Linked DNA regions of Oreochromis niloticus. The protein of the gene in region 3 purifies or fractionates together with the protein of the main gene of each other region. This does not show direct contact. Links are inferred from orthologs where the notes say so. Each region holds a gene or a part of one and is shown on either strand. Other genes may lie near its edges. The genes, in order: lamtor5, lamtor2, slc38a9 and lamtor1.

The links.
Region 1: the proteins of slc38a9 (region 3) and lamtor5 purify together in Homo sapiens (co-immunoprecipitation; 5 studies listed by BioGRID and IntAct, with this or other methods). This does not show direct contact. The link is inferred for Oreochromis niloticus from reciprocal best matches to the Homo sapiens genes SLC38A9 and LAMTOR5.
Region 2: the proteins of slc38a9 (region 3) and lamtor2 purify together in Homo sapiens (co-immunoprecipitation; 5 studies listed by BioGRID and IntAct, with this or other methods). This does not show direct contact. The link is inferred for Oreochromis niloticus from reciprocal best matches to the Homo sapiens genes SLC38A9 and LAMTOR2.
Region 4: the proteins of slc38a9 (region 3) and lamtor1 purify together in Homo sapiens (co-immunoprecipitation; 5 studies listed by BioGRID and IntAct, with this or other methods). This does not show direct contact. The link is inferred for Oreochromis niloticus from reciprocal best matches to the Homo sapiens genes SLC38A9 and LAMTOR1.

What each region holds. Positions count from the first base shown.
Region 1 is NC_031984.2:21,035,265-21,042,989, forward strand, and holds the start of lamtor5 (ragulator complex protein LAMTOR5), read left to right. Parts: upstream 1-4,720; 5' UTR 4,721-4,845; coding exon 4,846-4,880; intron 4,881-4,974; coding exon 4,975-5,036; intron 5,037-7,725. Other genes in the region: prok1 (prokineticin-1), read right to left, coding at 892-969. UniProt on the Homo sapiens protein: As part of the Ragulator complex it is involved in amino acid sensing and activation of mTORC1, a signaling complex promoting cell growth in response to growth factors, energy levels, and amino acids.
Region 2 is NC_031976.2:35,941,683-35,949,068, reverse strand, and holds the start of lamtor2 (ragulator complex protein LAMTOR2), read right to left. Parts: upstream 3,022-7,386; 5' UTR 2,870-3,021; coding exon 2,802-2,869; intron 1,598-2,801; coding exon 1,435-1,597; intron 1,289-1,434; coding exon 1,199-1,288; intron 1-1,198. UniProt on the Homo sapiens protein: As part of the Ragulator complex it is involved in amino acid sensing and activation of mTORC1, a signaling complex promoting cell growth in response to growth factors, energy levels, and amino acids.
Region 3 is NC_031972.2:10,544,828-10,552,512, reverse strand, and holds the start of slc38a9 (neutral amino acid transporter 9), read right to left. Parts: upstream 3,020-7,685; 5' UTR 2,918-3,019; intron 2,019-2,917; exon of another isoform or gene 1,695-2,018; 5' UTR 1,623-1,694; intron 1-1,622.
Region 4 is NC_031979.2:11,637,441-11,644,452, forward strand, and holds the start of lamtor1 (ragulator complex protein LAMTOR1), read right to left. Parts: upstream 3,015-7,012; 5' UTR 2,793-3,014; coding exon 2,745-2,792; intron 1,959-2,744; coding exon 1,819-1,958; intron 1,726-1,818; coding exon 1,648-1,725; intron 1,431-1,647; coding exon 1,307-1,430; intron 1,188-1,306; coding exon 1,095-1,187; 3' UTR 1-1,094. Other genes in the region: sfrp2l (secreted frizzled-related protein 2-like), read left to right, coding at 6,490-7,003. UniProt on the Homo sapiens protein: Key component of the Ragulator complex, a multiprotein complex involved in amino acid sensing and activation of mTORC1, a signaling complex promoting cell growth in response to growth factors, energy levels, and amino acids.

The DNA.
Region 1 (7,725 bases), on a different chromosome or scaffold from region 3:
AAAACAATTCTATTGTTGCCAGTAAATCTGTTTCATCTTCTTATATGGCAATAGATATAGAGTTTATCTTTTCATATACATAATTTTTACTTATTGTAATAGAGATACCCTCCCATGTTTGGACAGCGAAATCCATTTTATTTATTGCCTGTCATCTCCCTAACCCATTTACAAATGAATAGCATTCAGGGGGCTGAGATAATTTCCTCTGATTTTTCCAGTTAACTTAAAGCGGGGGAGGATATGATCTGTCATTAGTCATTTGTAATGAAATTTAACAATATTATCCAGAGAAGTGATCTGTTCAGTTTTCATGCACACAAAAAAACACAAGTTAAAATAAGTTAAAATATATATATATATATATATAAGTATATATATGTATGCATATATACATATATATATATATATGTGTGTATATATACTTCAGTTCAGTGCCCCATTCCACTTTCCATTTGGAAAGTGGAATGGCGCACTAGTATATTCAAATAATTTTTGTAAAAAACCATATATATACATACATATATATATATATATATATATATATATATATATATATACATATATATATGGTTTTTTACAAGTTGTATGTTGCAGAACAAAAAAAAAGATTTTCTGATAATGAAAATATAATGATAGAAACAGACATTTTAAATATTTTTATTGATTTTTTAAAAATGTTTTGAATATACTAGTGCCCCATTCCACTTTCCATTTGGAAATTGGAATGGGGCACTGAACTGAAGTAACAGTTACAGTTATAATAGACACAATGTAAAATGCACTTTCAGTATGACAACACACAGATTGATGAGTTGATTAAAATACTTCTCTAGTCTGATAAATCAAAAACCTTAACATTGAGTTGTTCCATTAGAAATTCCATCTTACCCCTGTGATAACGGCTCCTCTGCACCAGCTCCCAACGGACAACAGGAGGAAGGACAGCAGCACCTCCCTGAAACCCATGACAGCAACAGGAGAACTGGACTCTCTCAGCACCCCCAGCACCACACAACAACTGTGAACTGTCTCTGTGGCACGTCAAGCTGGTTCCCCGACTCTTCAGCCACTCCTCAACGTTTACACAACTCCTTAGAGAGGGCAGCCTCCCTTTCTCCTTCTCTTTATCCACCTGTGACCCCCCCACCCAACACTCTCCCCTCCCTCTCTTCTTTCCTCCCTCATGCCAGAAAAATCCCCCTTACACCCCTTCTGTCTGTCTACTCAGAAGCTCTGTCATCTCACCTATCCAGATGACAGCTTATGAAGACTCACTTTAGGGTTCAACTACATCGTCTCTGGACCGGGGCTGTAAGAGTTTCCACCAAGCTAACAAAAACAAAAGGACCAATTCAGTAGTTGATGAAATTTATACAAACTAAAATAAATGTGACACGTCTGTGGAAGAAAGGGCACAATCCTGAGCTATTTGTCAATCAGAAGTGATCAAGACAAAACAAATAAAAATCAAAGCCATCTAATGAGTTTACTGACATTACCACATTACTGACTTGTGGGTTGGTCTTCTGGTAAAACACAGAAACAGGAACGTGATATTTCTTATTTATCACATTACTGTATGGTGTGTGTCATGATGCTATGTGTTTTAAAGAGGTTTAAATTAATGATTAAAACCTCTCACCACGCCTCACTGAGACGTCTTACGAAGCTACAGTGCCACTAAAGCGATACGAGAATAGGAATAATGAGTCTTAATGTCTCTGAATTATGGTAGTCATGATCGCAGTGATACATCAACTCTGAGTCAGGGTCTATTTCAGATCCAGCTCATTTGCAGATTTACTGCAGCTCTAATGTATAGGTCACGAATAACTGGATTTATACCAACCTCTGGTTGTACAAGATTAAAGTGTGTGTGTGTGTGTGTGTGTGTGTGTGTGTGTGTGTGTGTGTGTGTGTGTGTAGGCCTGTTCTGCTATCTTTGGAGGACAAATTTTAATTCCAGTGAGAATTCAGTAAAGGTTAGGGTGACTGGCTTTGCTGTGACGGCGAAGGTTAGGGCAATGGGCTTAAGGATTTAGTGTTTTATTGACTGTCCTCACGAAGATAGCAGGAGTTACTGTGTGTATGTGATGTGTACGTGATACATAAGCATACATATGTGGCATATAAAGCAGGCTGAAAATTGTTCCATATGCACAGACTTATACTTGTACATGCGTGTGTGAGTACGTGACTGCTTGGACAGTGATGAGCAGCTGGTTGTCAGAGAAAACGGGCAGGCTGTGATTTAAGTTGCGAAAAGAGAAATACGAGCGAGAGAAGACGAGAGCCAAAGACAGAAAAAAATTAGAGGGAAGGAGGGAGGGGGAGAGCACCCCTTGGGTTACTCAGCAGGACATTACCCTGCTGCTGCGCAGGTGATGGATTCCTCCAATGCAGTGGCCATATAATTACATTCACCCATTTTTGCCCTGTCAGCAGGAGCACTGAAGCCAAGCCATCCTGGGACAGGCAGCAGAAATCATGTGGAGGTGTGCCCAGAGGCCTCACACTAACTTCTAAAGAAATTACATTAACAAAATCTGCCATCAAGAGGGTACAAGAAACAAGATTTCTGTTTTAAACCCAAAGTATTATTGCTATATTTTACATGCAATAAAAGCCATTGTTACCGTGCTTGTATTTATTATGCTGAGTCATTCTGTTATGTTACATGGATGGTGGAGAGGACTGTGTTTGGAGAGGTGATTTTACTTCTCAGTACCGAGGAGCACCTTTGACACTAGAGTTGTTTTAGGCAACCTCAGCTTATTTGTGGGTGTCGAGTGACTGCTCCATAGGAATACATTGGGAAGTGGATAATCAATAAATATATTCAGAAGAAAAACTAAACTAATCTGATTTTATATTTATGCACCTCTGAGTACCAAAATCAATTTCTAGTGGAGGTGGGCATGAAGAGAGTAACAGATCAATGATGAATTATAGAGCAGCAAGGTTTCATTACATAACCTATCTAGTGTAGAAAATTACTTCAGTGAACGAGGACCTCGGCACACGGAAGACTGTACTGAATATTATACTCATGAATCAAACACTTTTCGCAGAGTGGGGAATATGAAATCTCATCATGATATAAATGTCATGGTCCTGTGTTTTGTCCATTGTTTGTTTTTTGTTCAGTATTTGGGTTTTGAATTTTTCCTTTTTATATTTGAGTCTGGAATTTTTTTTTTTATATATCTATATTTTTTACTGTAATTCTCCAGGGTTTTTGTTTGTTTGTTTGTTTGTTTGTTTATTCATGTTATGCAAAGATTGTTTTTTCTTTTGTTTCAGGCTCCTGTTTAGTTTTCATGGTGTTTTGGATGCCTTTTAAAATGGGTAACAAACCTACTGCTTGTTTTGGATCTTTATTTAGCTTCAGTTCCTAGTTTGAGTTATTTCTCATGCGTTAAGTTTTTCCCTCCCTCCTCCAGTGTTCCCTTCTCTTTGTCTTCATGTTTAATATGAGCTTTCCTGTTTCTGTGTTTATTTGTAGCCTTTGGACTATTTCCTGCTTTAGTGTGATTTATTTCCCTCTGATTTCCTGTTTTTGAATCTTATTTTCTGTCTGTTGATTACTTTCATCTTTGTCATGTTGGTGTTTTGTTCCCTGTTCATGTGCTTTTGTTGTCTTCAGGTCTCCTTGTATTCTTTGGACTTTGTGCTTTTGGACCTATTATCAGCTTTCTATTGAGTCCTCTGTATTGTGTGTCCTGCATTCTGGCTTCATTGCACACAAAACGGTGACATACACTCCCTGGCCACTTCATTAAATATGCAAGTTTGATGACTCTTTATTTATTTAGGCATGTAGACAGTGGAGATTACATTTTGAAATTCAAACTGGGTATCAGAATGGAGAACAAAGATGATTAAAGTGACTTTGAATGTAGCATAGTTTTTGGTGCCAGAAGAGCTGTTCTGAGTTTTTCAGAAACTACTGATCTACGGGGATTTTCCTGCACAACCATCTCTAGGGTGTAAATAAATGGTAAATGTTAAATGGCCTGTATTTGTATAGCGCTTTACTAGTCCCTAAGGACCCCAAAGCACTTTACACATCCAGTCATCCACCCATTCACGCACACATTCACACACTTGCTAATACAAGTTAGAAAGATGCATTAGCAAATATAGATCTATATAGTCACAAACTCTGTGCTTTATATGAACGTAAGAACGGCCTAAACATTGCATATATTATGAGTTAGCTAATATGGAAGTTAACCCCATAGAAAACAGAAAAGGCAAATGCAAGCAGGCAATAGATTTAAAACTGGGGAGTGGGAATCATCATTTTAAATGTCAGAAATAAATTTGTATTTGTAATTGATTTTTTAAATCCATTTAGTGATGTCTCTTTTATAAATTGCATTTTCAAAAAAGATTTTGAAAAATTTGATTTTAAATTTGGCATTAAAAAATGTTTTTTAAAATTAAGTTTTTATTTGTTAGTTTAATGCCATTTCACTTTATATTTATTTATGATTAGTCCTTTTATTTTCGATTAAATTATCAAATAATTATTGACTTTATTAACGCCTGAATGTCCAATAAATGAATGAGGGAATGTATTTTAATGCATCATTCATCATTAAATCACGAAACGCTTTATTTCAACGCTTTATTTCATGACTCACTTGGTCCTACATACATGACAATATTTTAAGTCTGTTGTATATTTCCGCGCTTCGCATATTTTGGTCCTCATATGGACCCTTAGTTCATGTGACAGTCAGCTGACTCTACCCGGAAACGTTGAGGTAGCAGACAACAACAAAAATACAGCTTCATTGAGCAAACTTCGATTTAAGTTATTCGCGATTGATAACAATGGAGTCGACCCTCGAACAGCATCTCGATGATACGTAAGTTAAAACCACTCTAGCACTGAGTATATGTATTACGTTTTTGTGACCTTTAAAGCGACTTTCGCTCCTTCTGTGTGTTTGTTTGTGGCAGCATGAAGAATCCAGCAGTGGTTGGTGTGCTCTGCACGGATCAACAAGGACACAACCTGGGCTGTAAGTGAGGAAATCTCAAACTAGTTCACGTTAAACTGGCCTTTTACTTGTCAAAGTGCACTGGTGTCGCTGCTCAGATGCTCAAAGTTACGGGTTATTTAGCCATAAGTCATTACGCTTTGGATGGGAGAGAGTACCGAGTGGTGTTGTTTTCACGAAAACATTAAGTTGTTATTGGTTAATACAGGGATACAAATAAGCATTTAAAGTAATACATAAGACAATATGAAATAGATCCAAGGGCAAAAGGAAGAATTCAAATAAACAAAGCAAAAATACAAGTATTAATTAAAAAAAATCCACGTTAAGCTCCTTCATAATAAAAAAAGGTTGTGGGCATTTCTTTGGAAATGTGGGGATTTTTTTTTTTAACCTGCAATCTGTTAATTGTTGAAGATCAACTGCCATACTAAAATTTCTACCTAAAGCATTCATCATAATGGGTTAGGGACATTTGTCACTGCATGAAACAGAAACATACACTTATATCATTATGAAGGGAAAAATATTCAAAAAGAATAGAAGCTTCTCAACTTAAAATCGTAGTAAAACTATATTATATACTGATCTGAGTATTAGCACTGTACACACTGTATTTGTAGTCAAACGTAATCATTAGTTTTAGAATAATAAGTTATCAGTTGTTATTAAACCATCTACTACTAATACATTATTCTAATACAATAATAAAATACAATAATTAAAAAAAACTTTAAGTATGTTGATGGAGAATTAATTTTCATTTTGCATATAAGTCAAGTGAAAAAGAGTTAAGCACATCTTTGCTGCTTCCACAGAAATTAAGAGAGTAAGAAGCAGCCAAATGTTAATGAAAGACGATTAATTAAGAAAGCTGAAATTTTGGGAATTTGGTCTGCAGTATTCAGGTGTGTGTTAACACACGATGCCACAATCTTCCCATGAGTGGATGTCCCATGGTAAATATGTTAAATGTCAAACATCATGACAGTACAATTAGAAGAAAGCTGAACGAGATGGCTGCAGTGTGCTCCACCGAGTCCCGTGAAAACGTTCTTTTTTTACATAACCTGCTCCTATGCTTGCTCTATCAAGGATTAATAAATGTTTTAGTGATCCCTTGATTAACTTTGATGTAGCTCCTGTAAAAATCATCCAAACTTGGGTACAAATGTTTCAGACGGTATTTTTCAAATGTACAGTGGTCCCTCGTTTTATCGCGGGGGTTACGTTCTAAAAATAACCCGCGATAGGTGAAATCCATGAAGTAGCCAACTTTATTTTTTACAATTATTATAGATGTTTTAAGGCTGTAAAACCCCTCACTACACACTTTATACACTTTTCTCAGACAGGCATGAACATTTTCACACTTTTCTCTCTTTTTTTTGTTTTTTTGTGTTTAAATACTCTCAAAGTTCAAACATTTGTAGAAAAATAAGTCCGGTATTATAGAATGAAACCACAGGTGCCTTTGACGGTGCAAAACGTTTCGTCGACATTGTTGTGTTTGTTGGGGAGAAAACGTACAAACATACAGTACAGCACTTCCGAGTCACACTGCTAGCGATTGAAGATTTATGTAAATTTGACAAGCTGAATGCATTCTGTACTGTACAGGAGACCTGGCACGGAGGAGATTGATTGACAATGGTCTACAGATGATCAGGACACAGAACACAATGCGCTGTAAAAAAAAAAAAAAAGAAGAAAGCATGCAAAATTGCACAAAAAAAAAAATCCCCAAAACAGCAAAGCCGCGAAAGGTGAACCGTGTTATAAATGTAAACATTTTACTAGGTTTTCCTCTGATATAAAAAATTGCTGCTCTTTAATAACAAATTGTATATCGTGTATGTTTCATTCAAGAACATAATTAGCATATTGATAGTGGTATAACTCAGCTGGAAGGGTTATCACTTACACCAGATTATGTGCTGCTTTATCAGCATTTGTGGATTTTAGTACATTTCACCATCAGACTTTCATATCATTGAAATACAAGTAGACTCTCTACTCACAGGCTCACTTTTCACTGTGATGGAATGTCCACTTTGTAATAGTTGTGTGTATTTGAAGTATATGCTTCAAAACAAACAAAAAAACTTCATTAAAATATTATGAATAAAATCTTACTGGCCAAAAAATTTTGCTGTCTGACTCTCTGACAGCTTTCTGTATTTATTTGACTTCTTCCTACGATTTAGTTGAGTAGATTCACAGCACTCTCATGTCTGCATAGTAAATATGAACCTAGAGCCAGCGGCCACTTAACTTAGCATACAGACTGTCTGTCCTAACGTAACAAAATCTACAGTCAAATCCAACTAATTATCCACTTAATGCTGTATTCTGTTCATTTTTGTTCATCTTACAAAAACTGAAGTGCAGAAACAGCAAATTGTGTTTTCCAGGGTTTTGTGTATCTTGATCTGACTTCTTGACCAGGTGCAGAAACTTCCTGGATTGTTGCTAACACTAGGCCTGGAAACACCGTGAAGTTAGTGTGCTTGTCCGAAACCGTGGATTTGTTCCTTCAGGGATAGCCTGGTCTTCCTTATCAACAAAGAAATGTGTTAAAATAAAAAAAAATGTTGGTTTGACTCCACAGCTAGAAGCTAGACAGCATGAGTTTGTTAGATGCATGATGACCTCAGAGGGAAATTAATCAACACTGGTTTGAGTGGTTTTTTTGAAAAAGTCTTTTATT
Region 2 (7,386 bases), on a different chromosome or scaffold from region 3:
ACCTTGACGTCCTGAATACAACACAAGACTAGTTAGCCTCCGGAGGCTGTGTCAGCAGATTAGCTGAAGGGTATGCTGACTGGGAAAAGTGGCAAAGAAAAACTGGATGCACATTCAAAAAGACGGACACAGAGTCTTAAAAAAACAAACAAAAACAAAGCTCAGTCATACTGAACTCCTCATAAGAAGGACTAGTTCACTGTTACTTCTGAGTCAGACGTTTGTTAAACTAAAAGCATGTTTTGCCAAATTACATCCAACTGCTGAACTTCCTTCATTAGCAGAAATCCTCTGCCTCCGTGAAAGAACTCTGAAGTAAAGTGGAGGTAAAATTAAAAACACAAAAAGCTAAAAAAAAAATAAATAAAAATCCTCATTGTTTCCTTGTATTTATGTGCAAACAAATAATGAGCCACACTTTACCCTCAGCTGTTTAAATATTAAATCCATTCTCAGCTGGTCTGGAGGCTCAAAATAAGAGTCTTTATTCTTTATTTGGTTTTTGCATGTGAGTGCTTTTATATGATTTAAAGCGACATAAAAGTACAGCGATCATTCATATTCAATCACAGGCACTGACAATAGCAGAAGGTTAATACTTTCAGTAGCTGCTTATTACCATTACAATGTTTACGCTGATTTAAGAAGATTTTTTTAAAACTTTACAGTAAACTGAATTTAAACCTGCCAGTCGGAGAAAATTAAAGTATTTAGTGACATTTCACAGGCTTTCGAAAAGCATGATAGGCAATAACTGTCAGTTACAGAATCAGTATATTAAACTGTTGATTCAATTGCGTCACAGACACCGGCCGGCTGCCAAATTCAAAATGTTAAGGTTTCTATTTTTCCTGTCCATTTAGATTTGACTAGAATACTTAGTGTGCATGTAAAGTCCACTTAAAATAGTTAAAAAACATGATGGGAAATCAGTTATTGTCTCAGATGCTTAATAATATAATTAACTACTTATGGATTTGATAAATATTGTAAATTAATTAAATTTCTTTTTTTTTTTTTAACTTAAAAAAACAACTCACAAATTGACAACAAAGAGAACTTTTACTTTATATGAGTAAATTTCCAGTATTTTCAAACCTGGCCCTAAATCATTAATAGAAACAGTAACGGTTGTTGATGATCCACATTCAGAATATGAAACATTATCTCATGAAAAGGCAGGAGTTTAAACTCTCACCTTGGCTTTAAGCATCCCGAAGCCCACCGTTTCTTTGGCGTACATGCACAGCAGCAGGTTGGCGACACGAGTAATGGCCACTCTTCCCTCCTGAGAACGACAATGTTAAAGGCAAGAAGACCACAGTATCTCAGTTTATTACTTAATGATGGCTCCACTTTTTCCCACATCACACAAATCTTTCACATATACCTGAAAAAAAAAGTAATAAAAGATGGGGGAACAGCATGTCTTACCATACAATCCATGAGAATGAATTTGAGTTTGTCTTCATTAAAGGCTTGATGGCCGTTCTTGTCATAAGCTGCCCAGATGTTGCTGGCGATAGCAGCTGTCACTCGAGCGTCGGTGTCCCCGTACCCAGAGTACGCCAGGAGTGAGCCTTCATTATTCAGTAAGCTGGTGAGAAACCACATAACCAGCAGATTAATATTAAATTAATATAATAACTTTCAGAGCACAGACAAAGTTATCAACTAAACATAATATATACTCTAACTAAGGTGTATACTACACGAAAATGTATTTTATTTGTATAGGATTTCTTACTACACCATTTTACTAGGCAAGTCTGTTTAAGTAGTTTAGGACTACTGTGAAAGTCAGGACAAAAACACCATATGTACAGTGGTCCCAGTGGTAACAGAGCACTCGGTGCGATTAGGCGAGTGGCTCCAGCAGATCCCAGAAACAACATCGGAGATCTCTGTCCAGAGGAGCACAGTCCTAGGAGCAGCAAAGATACTGTGCAGGACCCTAAAAGCTCCCAGGCCTCTGGTAGAGGTCCGGGAGCTTGAAGGATAAAGAAGCCCTGCAGTGGCAAAAGGTTTTTTTTAAATTATTATTATTCCCTTTAAAAGCATATATAAGTGGTGTCATATACTAACTCATGACAGAAAATAGTGATGACTACTTGCACAATTTTAATAGCACGAGTTGTTGATTCTAAAGGTGTGATTTTCTTTTTCTTTTTCAAAGAGGAATTTTGGTGACACCAACTCGCGTAAACACAACTGATCAACATATAGTCACAGTCTGTATTATCTTACACACAAAAAAATCGTTTTAGTACATATCTGATGCCCTTTTTCCTCTTTGGTGGAATATACCATTACATAAACACAGTTATTGTAGTTTGTAATTGTATATTATTTTGATATAAAATTAGGACAACATTGTTTACCTACTTATTTTTGGAAATTTGACAAACAACTGTTTATTTTATGCTTAAGGAAATTAAACCCCTGTGGGGGGAAATGCCTGACATGAACCTATATCAATTATTTGGGACATTATACTGAGACTGAGATAATGATCAGACACACTGACTATATAATAAAGTAACTTGAATTTTGTGTTGAACACTTCCAAACAGACTGTGCTGGTTGTGAAACATCAGCAGCTCCTCTATGCAAGATACACACTGTTTGATATAATAACATTTTATTCGTCCCGCAGGGGTTATATTCAGTTTTAGAGAATATTCAGAAGACTTAACATGTGTATTGCCTTTAAATTTATATGTAATCGTCAAAAAATGCACCGCTGAAACTCCAGCAGCAGTTAGCATGTGGCTAGCTTGCGGCTAGCTCGCCGTACTCACAGAGTGCTCTGGACTCCGTTTGTGTTCGCCTGGCTGAGAACCTGCGTCAGCGCCTTCGGCCGTAACATGGCTGTTCACCCTCCGATATAAGAGATCAAATATAATAACACTTATTCAGTTTACGGGACGCGACGAGGAGCTTTAAAGTGCCCAAACTGCTCAGAAACACACAACCAAGTCAGCTGATTCGGTTTTCATTTCCGGGTCCGATCGCAATGCATCACGGGAAATGTAGGTATTTCAAAACCTTATTTCACCCCTAAATTCTTTTATACAGTTTTTTTTTAAAATTGGTTTGGCACCATTTTCATAACTAAAGTGTGCATTTTTAAATCTCTCAGTACAAAACTCACATTTGTAACACCACTAGTTATTCTTTCAAATCTGATGTCATGATTTCATTGCATTTGCACATATTTACATTCCACGTAATCATTGTATCAGAACACATGATCACTGTGATATATTTTGAGAACATTTGCTTTAATCACCCAAACAAAACAGTAAGCTCTTTTTTCAACTTAGTACTTTTACCAATCACTTCATTCAGGAGCAAATAATACAAGGTAAGCGATTCAAATTGTCCTTGGTGATGAATGAGTGTAACTGAACTGTAAAACTGTACACAGCAAATATTATACTTATGTTCAGACATAAAAAAAAATAAAAAATATATATATATATATATATATATATATATATATACACACACACGCATATACATACACACAGACACACACACACGAAAAAGGGAGAAAAACAACAAGTCATTTACATAAGCATAATATATTTTTATGTTATTTTATTCTTATCACTTTTACACAATTAATCAAGCCGGTCATTAACATTGGGCCATAAATTTTCATCAACATCACAGTGGATGTCTTCGTTGTTCAGGCACCGTGGGAAAAATGTCCTGGCATGACGAATCCAGGCTTGACATTGCTCAGCAGTTATATCACCACAAGCTTCACACATGAAGAAGGGAGACATGCTCATGGGGATGGCGATCATACACCTTCCACCTCCATGTAGAGAAGAATTCCTTAATTGGGTTGAGGAAAGGGGAATATGGTGGAAGATAGAGGGTCATGAAGCGAGGATGTGTTTGAAGCCATTCCTGAACCAGCTGTGCATGGTGGAAGCTGACATTGTCCCACACAACAACATAGACGATGTCTTCTCCCTGACAGGCCTGCTCCAGTTCATTAAAAAAAAAACAAAAAACAAAAACAAAACAAAAAAAAAAAAAAACCCACACACTCTCAGGTGTTCAGTGTTGTATGACCCTAGAACTGGTCTACAGCCTACCACACCATCTTCAGATATAGCTGCACACATTGAGATGTTTCCCCCATGTTGTCCAGGGACTTGGATGGTAGCCCTTTGTCCAATAAGGTTACGTCCTCTGCATCTAGTTTTTGCCAGATTGAAACCGGCCTCATCAATGAAAATATACTTGTGCTGATTCACAGCAGCGTCCTGTTACAGTAATTGCATGCCAGTTTAGTGTTGTACCTGAATATATTCTGAACGCAGTTGTTTCACCCGGACATTGTTCCTCTCAAAAGGAACCAAGTAAATTTGTTTCATGGAAACCTGGTGCTTCTTCAAAAGCCGGGCAATCGTTGGAAGGCTAATTGATGGCACATTGGCAAAGGTGTCATTGCTGTTCTCAACAGCCTGTTTGATTTCAGACAGCCGTATGTCATTCCTTGCCCTGACCATTTCCACCACAGCCAACTCCTGCTGGTCAGTCAAAACACGTGGGCGACCACCACCAGGTTGTCTCCTGTTAATTCTGACAATCATATACTGTCAATATTGAAGTATTACAAATTACATTACTGTAAACTGACAATTACATGTTGTTCATCTATACAATAGGGTACTATTTTTTAGAAGTGAAGTTGCTATAGCAGACATACCGGTTTTCTTGGCGAAAAGTTTGGATGATAGAGCTGACAGTTGACCTTTGTAAATTAGGCTGTACCACCCTGGCAGCCTCAGCCATGGTAAAGCCTCTGTTAACCACATGGTCAACAATGATGGCCCGGACTTCATTAGAGATGATGGTGCGTTGTCTTCTGCCTACATTTCTCTGAAGACCACCTCTCTGTCGAGGAGCACCACCACCTCTTCGATGAAGGTTTCCTCTCCCTACGAGTCTATCCTGCTCCATATTTGAACAGTGCAAAGTCTCAAACACAGTTCTACTTATATGGTAACTAATTGTGATCATCAGGGGGGAAACAATTAGCAATTAGTATTTCTAGATTGAAAGCTCTTGCAGCCATGTGTAACTTACAAATGACCAGACAACAATCAGTCAAGTTGAAAATCCATGGACATAATGAATGATTCATTGATTAAACATTAAGATCAGTTGAATTGAATGACAGACAAATGTATTAAACTGAATGATAAGAGATGCAAATCAAAAATTTTGTAGTGATAACATTATGAAAGGCAGTAACTGTGAACGAAACATTTATTTAGATGAAACACTTATTTTGTGTAGTGAAAAGGATATTTTGTCATTATGTGTATTGTACTAACACAATTGGAAATATGCTGAAATGTTTGAAAAAGGTGCACTTTTGATGATCTGTTGTGATATAAGTACGAAGAGTTTTGAAAATGTACCAATTGCTTGTGAAAACTGCGCCAAACCAATTACAAAAAACTGTAAATACCACACACAGACCACAACGCATGCATCAGGGTCAGTGAAGGTTAAAAAAAGGCCTGGGAGAAAGGGAGTGAGTGGATGGACGTCGTGAGGGAGCAAAATCACTAAGAAAATTATTTTTTAATTTTTTTAATACAATTTTTTAAAACACATTTTAAACAAAATATCAGATATTCTGATAAATATAAATATCACAAAATATCAGATTTCAGATCAGATGCAAATTTGTGAAAAAACACATGGAAAATTGTGGGTTTTTTTATTTGATGAGCTTTGCAATCTGCCCAAGGGTATCCTGTCATTTGCCCCATGAACCGTCCCCCTGACACTAGACTGAATACCTCAATTCAATTTTCAAAGAAAACAAAATTAGAAGACCATCAGTAGTCCTATCCAGTAATATCCTTTATGCTGTCTTTGACCCTCATAAATGTGTATGTGTTTATGGCGTTTTAACCGTTTTCTCTGTTTTCCTTTTCAGTGTCCTGTTACACACTTGTAAAATATGCCCCATAACAGATTTTAAGCATTTTTTTTACCACGCTTGCTATCCCATGTTTACCAATATTACAATATTAAAGAGACCCTTAATTTGCCTATTTATTACTCACTTTGACATGTAGAGCCTTGATTCTAACAATTTCATGTCTAACACTGATAAGATTACAAAAATCTTGGTATATACATAACATTTTTCTTTTCCTGATTTAAATAATAATACACATTAGAGGTCCAGCTGGTACCTGCTCCTTGAATCTGTATGACTTGGCTTGCATCCAGCAATATACGAGTCTTGGGTTGGTCAGCATCAACAGTGCTCTCAGAATCAGTGTCTGCTAAAAGTTTGGATTTCTGCATATTCATGGAAAATTACAAACACTGGGATCACTCTGAATGTCTTTAGTAACACATTATTTCTCTTCTTGGAGGACAGGAACCGAGCTTCTACCGGTGAAGTATTCTTGGGTGTTCCTGTCACAGTAGTGACCTTCTACACCTGATCTGAAGAACAAAGAAAGCCTGCCCATGTTCTGCTACTACACATTTTACCTAATCAAGTTGTTCTTGGGTTCATTTTCCTATCAACAGAACAAAGAAAGGATGATTAAACTGAAAGAATAAACAGTCGAGTCCAGTCAGAACAACTTTCCTACAACATCAACTCTAAATCAAGGCCAACCTAACGAGTCTGCCACACTACAGCGACCTTTACCATAAGGTCTTAATTTTATTGGTACAAGTTCTCTCTGAAACCTGTAAGAGCTGACATTTATTGTATTTTTCTTCTCTGCCCAAATAGCTACGACATCATTTTCACCCTGATCTTCAACATTCTTGTTTTTTTTCCTGTTAGAATTTTGCTTTTGCTATGGACAATTTACTCTGTATATTCTCACTGAAGATACTGATTTTAGTCATTCAATCTTACTGAATAAACATGTCTTTAAAACAACATGCTTTGAACTGCCAGATATCTATTTAAAGATCATTTAAGCAGCCAAGACCATATAGAGGGACTCACTTACAGTGCAAAAGGTCAGTAAATAGTTCGATATTTTCAAAGCGTGGGTGATCATTATCAACAGATCTGCTCAGTAAGCTCGGTCAACAGCACTACACCCAGTCAGTGATAAGTTTAGTCATCAGCCACCTCCCTCTCTGAACAAAAGACTTGTATCGCTTTTCATTAAACTTTGCAAACACTACCTTCACTGGAGTTACTCAAATCCTCGATCTGCACTAAAATGCCCCGTAATCTTATCAGTTTTAACCCTGTTTTTATGAAGAGAACAATCTGTTCAGATGACTGCTTGGATTTTAGGGAACACCTTCTCAAACACCACAATCTGTACAAACATTTAAAGACCTATCAAGATCAGTCAGTCTGTGGCC
Region 3 (7,685 bases):
ACAACAGCTATATAAAACTTCTCAGCCACTCCACAATTCTTCATATTTTGCTCCCAATGATCCAGACTTTCTTTGAGCAATAGCTCCCCAGCCTTTCTGAAAGTCTTTCAAAGTTTCTCTTCTGGTGTTGGCTGCTATTTCACTCACTTTTAATTAAATTCGTGCACCTAGCCTTTCTCAGAGGAATGTCTTTTTTATTGTTTGTTAAGCCACTTAACACTGTCCTATGAATCATCCCATTAAAAAAGCACCTAACTCAAGGGATGAGCCAGTGGAAGGATCGTTGTTAAGAAGCCATTCCTAAGGAAGAGAAACTAGGAGTAAAGGCTGAGGTATGCCAACATACACAAAACCTGCATGAAAAATAAGTGACAACAGGTCTTATGGGTTGACAAATCCAAATTTCAGGTTTCTGGTTTATATCATCATAAATATGCATGGAGGAGGTCAGGAGAGCAGTACAACAAAGAATGCACAGCCAACTGTAAAACATAAGTGGAAGCTCTAGAGCTGCAGCTTTATTTTTCAAATATCACAATGATCCCAAACCATAGAGTATAAGAGATGGACATCAACTATTGGTTTCTCAAGTTCAATGTTTGATGTTTCAAGATGAGCTTTCTTGGAGGAAGAAGTATTAATCCACACTCTCATTAGCTAATAACCTAATAACCTGTAACCAGCGAGAATGGCTGAGATTTAATTTCACAGGTAATCCTCGATTCTGAAATATAGTATGATCACGATTTACAAAACAGACTTCCACCCATTCTGCGTCTTTGGCCTGTGGGAGGAAGCCAGGTTACAAAAATAGAACTCACACCAACATGAAAAGGTTTCTACCAGATGGTGGATTCAAACTCAGGACCTTTTTGCTGAATGACAACAATGCTAACCACTATGCTACCCTTACAAACACAATTATTTTTTACTTTACACAAAACGAGTGAGTGAGCTCATAAACTCAGCAGAAAGAGAATTCACATAAACTTCTAGAGGACAGAAAGTCTCCTTGGAACCACAAATATTGCCATCTGATGGTATTCCCAGAGCACGGACCTCACAGAAGCGGTGCAGGATCGTCTTAACAGAATGGAATAAAAGGCAGCCGACATCCAAAGAGGAGCTTTGGAATGTGTTTTCACACCAAATATCAATTTTCAAGCTTTTTAGAATTGTACAATTTCTGTTTTGCATTATATGCAAGAAATCGCCACACTTATTTCACATTTTCTTAGGAAGAGCTTTTTGTTCTGCCTTTAGCGACTTAACCTTATAGGCATAGTTCCGCCATGCACGTGACAACACAAATATTTCTCTGGACAAAGTAACAAGTCGATACTGAGACTGTCTGAGGTTTTGGCACAAATAATCCATAGTGAATTCTTTCTGTAACCACATTTCAACACAGATACGTACTAAGTGTAAAGAAGTTTTAAAGATTCTTAGACTCAAAGTCACGTACAACAAAGCTCAGACACTTTAAACACCTTAACGAGAGCAAAGGCTGGTAGTTGAATGGCAACGTTTCATATCTAAACTCCTTTTTTTTAAAAAAAAAAAAAAAAAAAAAAAAAAAAGGATGTCATGCTAGGCTTGCATGGCTTCTTTGTAGAACTCACAGTCTGCAGTGAAGTGTCCTCTCCTCGGGTCTTCAGCTCATCTCAGTTCTGCTGTCTCTGCCATTGTTTCACCTCGAAAGTTGAAGTGAAATCAAATATCAACACAGTTGTTATTCATTTTTAAGTCTAACACCACCGGTGACATCAGCTAAATATTATTCCGATAAGAAATAATAATTGAATAATATTTGTACACGACTAATGAGCTGAGCAACGGCGTAGAGGAAGAAGAACTTAATTTACAAATAGTCAGCAGTCTTCGTACTAGGCTTGGTGACGATGTTGCTTTTCTTCCTGTTCCTCTTCTTCTTCGTATGTATTTAGGCCGGACAATACTCTTCGAACGCTATGCCGCCCTCCACCTTCCTCTTCCCCTTCTACCTGCTGCCGTTAGGGGTCGCCACTGTATATTTTCTACAGTGGTGTACCACATTTCTGGACTTCTAATGCGACATAAACCATTTAATGTTTGCCTTTAAGTTTTTCAAACAGCTTGCCAAGCCTGGTTATGCCCAGCAAGAACAAAGGGCTAAAGTCGGCATTCAGGCACCATCAGTTGAGTGAAGGTGTAATTAGTAATTAAATCTGATTCTCAGTTTAATAGATAATATCAAGCAACTCAAACTGTCTGTATTGCTTCCAGTTGTTGTCTATGAGAATAGGGCCATTTAAGGTTTGAGCATGACAGCTCTTTAGAAGTTAATGGCCAGTGACTGCAAATAATTGTTGTCGCAACAGTTGCGCAACAGTCAACTTGATTTTGGTCAGATTTGTCTGAGGCCAGGACAATGTCTCATTTTGACACTGCCCCAGGAAACTACATGGTGAATCGAGATGGAAAGGATGTGCATCAGGTTAGAATGATTAAGAATATAATAAGAAAACAGAGAAGGAGGGATGGTGGAAAGCTGTCAAGGCTCGCTGTGTGGCAGGTGGAGTAGAACCCAAATGCAAGACTCGGAAACAGGGGAGGTAAACTAAAGGGCGGCCTTATTGGTGTGTGTGTGTGTGTGTGTGTGTGTGTGTGTGTGTGTGTGTGTGTGTGTGTGTGTGTGTCTTTACTTTTCTAATGCATATTACAGAATATAACACCTGCATATTTGTAAAATGACAAATGGCCACCCCATTTGATTTCCATGCCACCCTAAGAAAACCTATGTAGATCAGCTCCTGGTTAACTTTGACGTTGGCAACTCTAAGGTTCATAGTGATTGGTGCGTGCATCAAGCATAAAGAGCGAAACCCTGTATAGGTGGGTGTGTAGCTGAAAGAAAAATCACCTATTCAAAAGTTACCTATTCAGCTGATGTGTCGTACAGCGGTGAGAATTGTTATTATCGGGAAGTGCAACTTTCAACGTATTTCCATTCATGCTGAGAGGAGCTCGCCATCACCCACTGTACAATGAAAAGAGAAAATGAGAAAAGGGACATTTTCTCCAGTCTGGGTTAATTTAACCCTGCATTTTCCCCTCACATACACAAGTACGCCCAATGCCACAAGCACTTATATTTCCTAGCAACAAAATTTTCACTTTGATTTTCTCTTTTTTTTTTTTTTACTTATACTTCCTTGCAAACATGTTTTTGTAAATTCTGCATTTTACATCATTTGACATATTGTATTATGTGTATTTGGTATCAAAAAATCGGAATAAATGAGCCATTAAGCAACATGTCAACACAGTGTCGACACAATAAGGGCAATGTGCTACACACTCCATGAGCATCATGTACCTATCACTGTTTCCTGTTCCAGAACAGCTGATCAGAGTAAGTTCAATTAATTCAATGTGGAATCTGCTTCCTGGTTACAGCCCCAGAGGGAAACAAGAAAACCAAAAATGACAAATCTTAAAGGAGGAAAACTGAGAGGGAAGACACAATCATGTGGCAGGACAAACAAAGGACAAGGGGCAGAGTTGACAGAGGATGGCAAGGGAACAGGCAACAGGTGGGAGGACAGGTAAAACAAATCACCCAGGAAGTATAATTGAATGTTAAAAAAAAGTGCCAAGGATTAAGGTTGAAATGAGAGCAGCTGGGAAGGTGGTTAGTCCAGATGACATACCTGTGGAGGTATGGAGCTGTCCAGGAGGGAGGGCAGCAGACAGTACAGGGTGGGCCATTTATATGGATACACCGTAATAACATGGGAATGGTTGGTGATATTAAAGTCCTGTTTGTGGCACATTAGTATGTGTGAGGGGGCAAACTCCTCAAGATGGGTGGTGACCATGGTGGCCATTTAGAAGTCGGCCATCTTGGATACAACTTTTGTTTTTTCAATAGGAAGAGGGCCATGTGACACATCAAACTTATTGGTAATGTCACAAGAAAAACAATGGTGTGCTTGGTTTCAACGTAACTTTATTCTTTCATGAGTTATTTACAAGTTTCTGACCACTTATAAAATGTGTTCAATGTGCTGCCCATTGTGCTAGATTGTCAATGCAACCCTCTTCTCCCACTCTTCACACACTGATAGCAACACCGCAGGAGAAATGCCAGCACAGGCATCCAGTTTCCGTAGTTTCAGGTGCTGCACATCTCGTATCTTCACACCATAGACAATTGCCTTCAGATGACCCCAAAGATAAAAGTCTAAGGGGGTCAGATCGGGAGACCTTGGGGGCCATTCAACTGGCCCACGACGACCAATCCACTTTCCAGGAAACTGTTCATCTAGGAATGCTCGGACCTGGCACTCATAATGTGGTGGTGCACCATCTTGCTGGAAAAACTCTGGGAATGTGCCAGCTTCAGTGCATAAAGAGGGAAACACATCATCATGTAGCAATTTCAAATATCCAGTGGCCTTGAGGTTTCCATTGATGAAGAATGGACCCACTATCGTTGTACCCTATATGCCACACCAAACCATCACTTTTGTTGTTCCAACAGTCTTGGAGGGATCCATACAATGTGGGTTAGTGTCAGACCAATAGCAGTGGTTTTGTTTGTTAACTTCACCATTCACATAAAAGTTTGCCTCATCACTGAACAAAATCTTCTGCATGAACTGAGGGTCCTGTTCCAATTTTTATTTTGCCCATTCTGCAAATTCTGTGCGCCAATCTGGGTCATCCTCGTTGAGATGCTGCAGTAGCTGGAGTTTGTAAGGGTGCCATTTGTGAGTAGCTAATATCCGCTGAAGGGATGTTCGACTAATGCCACTCTCCAGTGACATGCAGCGAGTGCTATGCTGTGGGCTCTTGCTGAATGAAGCTAGGACAGCCACTGATGTTTCTTCATTAGTGACAGTTTTCTTGCGTCCACATTTTGACAAATCCAACACTGAACCAGTTTCACGTAACTTAGCAAGCAGTTTGCTAACTGTAGCATGGGAGATGGGTGGTCTCGTAGGGTGTCTTGCATTGAAATCTGCTGCAATGACCCGGTTACTGCGTTCACCAGATATCAACACAATTCCGATCCGCTCCTCACGTGTTAACCTCTTCGACATGCCAATGGCTGTGAACAAAGAGAAACTTGTAAATAACTCATGAAAGAATAAAGTTACGTTGAAACCAAGCACACCATTGTTTTTCTTGTGACATTACCAATAAGTTTGATGTGTCACATGGCCCTCTTCCTATTGAAAAAACAAAAGTTGTATCCAAGATGGCCGACTTCTAAATGCCCACCATGGTCACCACCCATCTTGAGGAGTTTGCCCCCTCACATATACTAATGTGCCACAAACAGGACTTAAATATCACCAACCATTCCCATGTTATTACGGTGTATCCATATAAATGGCCCACCCTGTAGAATCTAGAGCTGGTTTGGCCAACTCCAGGCCTCAAGAGCCGGTGTCCTGCAGGGTTTAGATCTCACCCTGGGTCTACACACCTGAATCACATGATTAGTTCATTACCAGGCATCTGGAGAACTTCAAGACATGTTGAGGAGGTAATTTAGCCATTCAAATCAGCTGTGATGGATCCAGGACACATCTAAACCCTGCAGGACACCGGCCCTCGAGCCCTGGGTTTGGACACTACTGATCTAGAGAAAGTATATCATGCCAAGATAGGAATTATGATGCTGTATGAGGAAGTCATGAGTGGCAGGTGGTTCAGGACATACATAGGACAGCCATAAAAGGACAGGCAAGGCGGTGGTGACGTGTGCAGTAGGAATAACAGGTGAGCTCAAGGTGGGGGTGGGATTACAGGGAACTTCTCTGAGCCCCTTCTGGAGGGTTTGATGGATGGGTTGACAGATGAGGTCATACAGGATTCTCCATGTACTGTGATGTTTGCAGTTTATATTGTGATCTCTAATGTGAACACAATGAAGACAGCCTCGAGGAGGAAGAAGCATACTCTAGAGAGAAGAGGAATGAAAGGCAGTAGAAGCAAAATAAAAAATGTGTGTGTGAATGAGAAGGAAGCTACAAGGAGCAGAAGTAGTAAAGAGGGATGAGTTTAAATATTGTGTGTCAACCATCCAAAGCAACAGACAAAAGAAGTCGGGAAGAGCGTGTTGTAGTGGCGTGGACAGAGACAAATGCCAAAGTCTAATTTGTGACAGAAGGTTAAGAGCAGCAAAAATGAAAGGGAATGTTTACAAGATGATAGTGAGACCTGATATGATGTATAGTTTGAAGACAGGGGCACTAACAACAAGAAAGGAGCCCAAGCTGGAGGTGGCAGAGCTGAAAATGCTCTGATTTTTCACTTGTAGTGACCAGTACATTTACCATATTGCATAGAAACTGAACATTTAACCGTATTTTGTCTGACTACTCATTTTATTTTAGAATAAATCCTTATATAACAATAGACACTAGACTGATCCAAGTCTGTAACCATGCTTTAGGAAGGGATTCCTTCATCCAATGCAGAGCAACTAGCTAAACTTTAATCCCACATAGGTCCATTATCTTGTTAACAGTGTTACATCCTCACTGCATATGACTTTGGACACTATGGCTTCTCTGAAAAAGAAGGAAACAAATGAAAGATGCTTGACACACTTGTACAACTCACAAATGCACACGTTAAAAGCAGATAACAGCAAGCTGGAGAAGAAATGTCGTTGCACTAATTTGGAAAATCTTTATTTGGGCTGGAAAAATACTCATGTGAGAAAATATGTTTTCCAGTTAGGATGGGCGAGGCTTTAGTTGATTAATAACCTGGAGTGGAAGATTACTGTCACACCCCCTCCTCGGTCTGTGATTCTGACAATTACTATAACTCAGGGGTGTTGATTTATTTAAACTAACATAATCCTCGTTCTTCAACCAGGTTCCTGTAAGGCAGAGTAAATCAATTTGTTGAGAAATTATTAATTTATGTATTAATGGGGACTTAGAAGAGACCTAATGTTTAATAATCCACATTTCGCTGTTTTACTCTTTAGTGCAATTGCGGATACTATATTATTCTTTCTTTGTTTTTAATGTTTAAATCATTTTTGCTGATTTTAGTGTTGTTGTTTTTTTTGTTGTTGTCTGGAAGAAGACACAGTATCTAACGGGGTGGGGTTTTGGGGGGATAACAGGAGGAGAGAAGCTACTACTTGGCTACCACCTCCTGCAAATGTCTTGCCTCGGCTCACAAGTAAGGAATCTCCTCTTCCAAACTTTCATACTACAAATACAACTGCCATTCCTGGACCATCAAAATTTATGCTGCTCTCTCTATTGGTAAGCTGGTTTGTGAAAGTCAAATGGTTCAATAAAGTTTTTGCATCAACGAGAGTTGTTTCAAGTCTGCATCTGAGCCCAGAGTTGTATTTTGGTCTTTTCAGCCTTCTGACACAAAGACTCAAAAACACCATGATACTTTATGGATTCTTATCTGTCAATGTGGTGCTGAGTCTTGCTTTTAAGCTGAAATTACTCCCATTTCCAGTCATCTATATTCTTAAACACTGAAACATTTAAACCTTGTTTGACAGTGGTAAATAAACTTCTGTGTGCAAGATATTTGATACTAAATTTTTTCTCATGAAAACAAACTATCTTCTCAAAAAGCACAAAGATTGTATTTTTGGTCTCCTACTGGGATCTATCCTTCTTTTTTGCAGATTTGCAAGATTTCGTGTGACA
Region 4 (7,012 bases), on a different chromosome or scaffold from region 3:
TACAATCCATCATGTTTTGTTTTTTTATATTCAAGCAGAAAATTCTGTACAAAGGCATGAAGACACAATATCTGTCCCTACACACACTCGCACACACCCAACCACTCACTTTCATCTTTGAATATTACACTTGAACTTCTGGCCTGCTCGTTTATTTAATGCTAGATAAGCGCAGAGGACACGGCGCCGCCTGTAAACTCCAGAATTGTGACCCAAGAAAAGCTGCATCCTCACCCGCCAGCCAAGGAAAGGTTATTTAAGGTTTGGCCTCGACTGGAATAACAGGTTACTCCACTGTCACTGTCAAATGTCATTGAAATTCCCTCTAGCCTGGTTAGTGTGAGTTGTGTATGGTTGCCAGCATACTTCACTAAATGATAACGTTTTAATTTTGGCAGAAAAAGTGTGTCATTCCTTTTTTCTGGTGCTAATTTTAACATACTTCTTGCTGCTCAGGGATAAAGACTGAAGAATGTCTGGTGACATCAAGGATGTTAAACAGAGCTAAACATATATGAAGCGTAAAGATTAAATCATGTTTGGGGGTTTGTTTTGCTTTTTTTTACCCTGGTAAATAAAATATTAGACATGTGGTGCAATGATTATTTGCAATATTCCACGCCACAGTGATCCCTTATTTTCAGTGGAGATTTTATCAAATGTATTGTATTAACCAACAGCCAACAGCTTTGTGCCAAAAATCCAACAGCTTTATCCCAGGTGAGTCCAACATAGATATCAGCAAGGTGACAAGCTAGCTCTGATTCTTAGAAAACAAAGAAACTAAAAACACCCCTGGACAACTTTTTCTTTTTTTTTTTTAAGAGATCATCAAAAAGGTTGATTTCCACAGCTGGAGGCCTCGCTGATGCACATATGAGCTCAAACCCATCTTCCATTTGTCACTGAATTAATTACACTCGAGGACAGCCACAGGGTACGACCCTACATTGTCTCTGTCTTTGAAGCAGTTTAGAGCAGAAAGCAGGAGGACCAAAATGTTTTAATGACGGGTGGGGCTGGAGGTTGAGGATGCAGGAGTGACACGAAGAAAGTGGGACTGGAGCAACGATATGCAGGCCACAGTTGCAGAATCAGGGAATGGCAAACTGGACCACCAAGTCTTCTTTAGCATCCACTTTGATTTGAGAGATTGCACTGTAAGCATAGGCTGCTATCTTAGACACCTGCAAAGAAAAAAGATAAGTCAAATTCTAACTGCTCAGCTGTCTTTAAAATGACACGACTGGGGATTCTGGGCAGGAATCACACAGCCCCATTCAGAGTATGTTACACATATGGATACCTGCTGAACATCTGAGTATGGCACCAGGTCACTCGCAAGTACTTGGTGGGGCTGGCTGGTGAGGGAGGGGAGAGCGAGGGCTTTGTTTTGAGGCAGACTGGTGCTCAATACAGTCAGCTTTGTACTGAAGAGAGAAAAACATAGAGAAATTAGCTGTGCTGCTATTTAAGTTCTCTTAAACCAGTAGACTGTGCTTTGAGGAGCTAGAGTTTAGCCTGTGTTTTAGTCTAAACAAGGCTGCTCTATTTGGTAGAAATCAAACAACATGCTGAAGCACCAACCAAAATTATTATCAGCCAGTAAAGAAAACCCATCAAGCTATAAACCGTGTTTTTGCATACCTGTATTGTCGAGCTCTGTCCATGTACTCGTGCGGCTCCACCATGATGGCATCTGCTGCTGAGACATCAATGATGTTCCTGATGTACAGGGGATAACGGCATGTTTATTACACAGACACTCCTGCGTTATTGTCAGTGGCATGTCTACGTTTGCATTAAAGAGCGTCTTACTGTGCCGTCTTTGTCAGGATGGATGAAAGGAGGGCCTGTTCATTTGACAGTGCTGACGAGCCAGGGCCAGGGTTCCAGCTGGTCCCGCCATTTAGTGGTTTGCTGGGAGGGTTTGGGGAGATCAGCGGCTCTCTCTCCTGCTTAAAAAAAGTCATGAAATTTTACTTCTTTTTCCTTCTAAATCAAAGATAATTATGACAGTTGAGACCACTTTAAATTTAGCTAACCCTTTTTTGGGGGGGGGGTAGAAAGCCAAAAATATACATTAAATTTCATTATAGTAATGCAACAACGCACACAGTATGACTTCTGGAACTTGTGGTGCTCTTACAAATACTCCAAAAGTCATTTCTTCAGTCTAAAAGAAATATATGAGCACAACACAGGCAGGCAGAGAAAACTATAGATCTTCACTCTGTCCCCATTGCTCCTTTAAACTGCTATGAGGAAAGATGCATGAAGGAAGAACTGACTTATTTCTCGAAACTAAAAATAGCTGGGAATCTTGAGGGTCATATGACTACATGAAAATAAAATCCCAAATGTCCCTCACCTTGCTGTTTGTCCTAACACATTTCGCAACACTTTACTTTTCACCTCGCTTAAAAACCACTTTATATAAGAAAAGAACATAAACAAAGCCTTAAAACACATCTCTTTGCCTGTGGATCTGTTAAAGCTTTTCTAAAGCTTTCATCTTGATAAGTTAACTGGCTTGTACTTCATAAAAGGCCTACCCAAAGGCTAACTTACAATAGCAAGCTGCTAACCGCTAGAAAACGACCACTTGGTAACGTCGTCACGCATTACTCACGTGTACCGTCTGCGGGGAAATATGCCCAAAGGGATAATATACTATTAGGTACTCCACTTCTAAAATTGTCCAGCTTTCACATATCGGGTTTAGCCTGCTAACAGCTAACTACCTTGTTCCCGTCCTCGCTCTTGTTGTCGCTGCTGTAACAGCAACCCATGGCAACGTCCGACGGCCGACACTACACAACCCCGGCGTCCCTTCTCTCCGTCAGAAACCAGTCGTGCTGTTCTTCTCCAGCAAACATAAAACTTGTCTCCAGCGTGGTTGTATTATAACCTCATCTAAAGGTAAGGAGCTACTGTCAGAAGCAGCAGCGAGCTATCACATGACAGCAGCTCTAGCCCAACAACACAAGAACCACTTCCGGTTTTTGAGAAGCGGCGTCGGCCCTCGTCACGTGAAGAGGAAGCTTTGAATGTGAGCTGAATGAATGATAAATAGATAAATAAATAAGTAATATATTAATACTGATATAAGACATTTTTAGTATATGGCTTTTTGATGGTTTCATTATTTATTCATTGTTTACGTACTGTTTTTTGTAACAATGAAGATTCAATAAAGGTAGATAAGTTTAAATACCTGTGGTCAACCATCCAAATCAATGGACAGTGCACAAAAGAGGTGAAGAAGAGAGTGGAGCCAGGATGGAGTGGGTGAAGACGAGTGTCCTGAGTGATTTGTGCCAGATGGTAGTGAGACCTGCTATTGAGTAGGGAGCTGGAGGTGGCAGAGCTGCAGATGTTATTATTTTTTTAATTGGAAGTGAACAGGATGGGCATATCAGAAAGAAACCTCAGGTTGAACACTGGCTGAAATGCAGCCAAAAACCTTACAGAGTCACCACCATATTTTATAAACAGTTCATGTTGTACCTGCTTCCTGACCTGCTGATACACACTGACAATATTATGAAGCAAAAGGTTCATCCATTGTTTTGTTCTTTTCAGATACTGTTTCTCTGCTTTAATATTTTTTTTAGACCTGCCTTCTTTTATCCTCCACTTGTGCAGTTTCCTTAAAGTTGTTAAGGACTCGCTGGACACCCAGTTTTAAGCTAATATCTCTTTCGGAATCACCTGCAAAAATCATAATTTAAGCCCATCAAACTGTGTCAGTAGATTTAAGTTATTAAATGGGAACAATTATTTGTTTTTGCAACCAGCTGGCAGTGATTAGATGTCTAATGACTCTTTGCTAAATTGCCTGTTAAGTGTAGACACAACACTGGTTCATCTCTTAAGCTATAGGTGGCTTTTTTATGTTTGAATGATTCCTACGTCAGTATTAAGTGGCTTAAGAAACAGAACATTCCTCTGACAATGGTCAGGTACAAGGACTGTACTGAAGAAATAACAGGTCTCTCTTGGAAATGACAATTGTATCTTAGTGAGATTTTTACCTGGATAAATAAATGATAAATAAAAAAATTTAAAAGCGAAGGAAGTGAGTGAAAAAGCAGCATATATACAAAGAAAAACTCTGGAAGACTTTCAGAAAGACTGAAGAATTTTGCTCTAAAAGCCTACAATAAACATGAAGAAGTTGGGCTCTTTGGAAATAGAGCATTAGAAATATGGGTTTGCTGAAGACTATTACCCAGTTCTGTATATGTGGGCAGTAATTAGGAAGTTCATGTAACACACAGAACCAACAGGAGACAGTATAGGTTGGGGTCAATAAAGGGACTTCCCTGGATCCAAGCATGTTAAGTTGGACTTGATTATAGAGTATTACATTACTGAGCTGGTGGTAGACTTCCGCAGGCACAAACATCCTCCACTGCAACCACTGAACATCCAAGGTATGGACATTGAGACTGTGGACAGCTACAGGTACCTTGGTGTTCATCTGAACAATGAACTGGACTGGACTCATAACTCAGACGCCCTCTACAGGAAAGGGCAGAGCAGGCTGTACCTGCTGCGGAGACCCAGGTCGTTTGGAGTGGAGGGCCCACTCCTGAAGACCTTCTATGACTCTGTGGTGGCCTCAGCCATCTTTTATGGTGTGGTCTGCTGGGGCGGCAGCATCTCTGCTGGGGACAGGAAGAGACTGAACAGGCTGATCCGAAGGGCCAGCTCTGTTCTAGGATGCCCTCTGGACCTAGTGGAGGTGGTGAGTGACAGGAGAATGGTGGCTAAGCTGTCATCCCTGTTGGACAACATCTCCCACCCCATGCAGGAGACTCTGACAGCACTGAGCAGCTCATTCAGTGGCAGGCTGCAACACCCACAGTGTGGGACGGAGAGATTTCGCAGGTCTTTCCTCCCCACTGCTGTCAGACTCCACAACAAAGACTTTAACTGATCAAACACACACATCCACACATGTGCAATAACACTAAGTGCAATAATCTTTTCTGGCATCGTTGTATTTTTACTCAGTTGTATATAGCATTTGTATTCTATTTTTATCTTATTGTATATTTTATTCTATTTTATTCTACTGTATATAGTATTTTATTTTATTCTATTCTGTACAGTTGTGTACTGTATTTATTCTTATTGTATTCTAATTTTTGCTTCATAACTTTTGCACTGTCCACTTCCTGCTGTGACAAAACAAATTTCCCACGTGTGGGACTAATAAAGGTCATCTTATCTTATCTTATCTTATCTTATCTTATCTTATCTTATCTTATGAATCATCTTACAAGTATCCCACTTTGTTGTTCTGTATTGCCCTGAAGAGTACTTTTTTAATGTCCATAATAATCTATAGGCAAAGTAACAAAGCGCTGTGCCTCTGTCATTAATTCTCTACTCTGTATTGAGTGACTCTAACTTGTCTGAACACTGCATTTCTTTCTTTTTGCTTTGAAGTAAGATAGGAAATTAGGATAAACCAAACTACAAATATTTAAGCAAGTATGAACTGCTCCTGCGTTTACAATAGGCTACTGTAGCAAAGTCCAGGAGGATGGGGCAGGATAAGACATGTCATTGTACATATGGCAGACTCACTGGGAAAGATTAAAGGCTCTCTGATATACCCTGGGGTTGTGTGCGATGACAGGGTACCACACACATACAGCTTCTCAAACGCACGATAGTTACATTTTATTTCCAGCAATTCATTTCACAATAAGGAAAGCTCATGTCTTTTAGAGCAGACATAAAAACTGCTGCACTGTCACTGTTACCTTATTTGTTTGTTTGTTACTTAGACATACATTTCCAATTTTTTATATTTTGTAAAAACAAAGAAAGTATAAAATAAGAGCAATTAAAAAAGACTCAAACAAATAGCAGAATGGCATAAAAAGCAACAGTTTAAATTATATAAATAAATGAATAAATAAACACAGTGCAAGAAAATGGCCTGGATTCCAGACATATTTACACAGTTGTTCTTACTCTTATTTGAGTGTCACAGACACATTGCTGATGAAATTTTTACTTCAGTTTTACCAGGAACAGAAATAAAATGGTAATCTGGGAGCATCATCTGATTCCGGTGTGCACTTTTCATGGTCTACATACCACAAAAGTCACCATTTGGATAGACTTTCCATTCTTTTTAGTGCATTATTGTCAATACACATACGTTTGGAGGCTGGTGAATATTTCTTATAAGTTCAAATAATATTGCACAAGTTTATTCTTTCTGTCTTATGGCGCTGCACACAAATGTTTTTAACATTACTGACAACCCAAACTAAGGAAACAATCCGTACGCCCCCACTGACACTGCCGTGGAGACAGACAGCAGCAGTCTGATGGGGTGGGATGGTGACTGGGAGGCGCCTGGCCTCTCATTAACCCCCTGTTTCCTCCACACCTCTCCGTTTACACCTACATGCCGGTCAAGTCCAGACAGAAGAGCAGGAGCGCTAGACTGAAGACAAAACGATGCCTGTTTTTCTGCTCTCTTTCATTGCGCTCTTTGGAGTTTCTCACGCTTCTGACAGCGCGCCTCCGGAACCGTCGCTCTGGTTCAAACCCACTTTCCGCTCCGTGTGCAAACCCATACCGAGCACTATGTCTCTGTGCCACGGGATCGGTTACAGGAGCATGTGGATCCCAAACATGCTCGGCCATGATTCACTGAGGGAGGTCCAGCAGCAGTCTGCAGCCTGGCTGCCACTCATCTCCAAGCACTGCCACCGGGACACCAAGAAGTTTCTATGCTCGCTCTTCGCTCCGGTGTGTCTCCCGGAGGTCAGCGGGCCGGTCAGCCCCTGCAGGAACCTGTGCGAGGCCGTACGGGATGGCTGCGTGCCGGTGATGAGCGCCTTCGGCTTCCCCTGGCCTTATATGTTTAACTGCACCCGGTTCCCACACGGAACCGAGCTCTGCATCCCCGTATCCGAGGAGCAGGATGGGCGGGAAACAGAGGAGGCGAAGCACGAGGAGGTGCCCAAAGGTCAGTGCA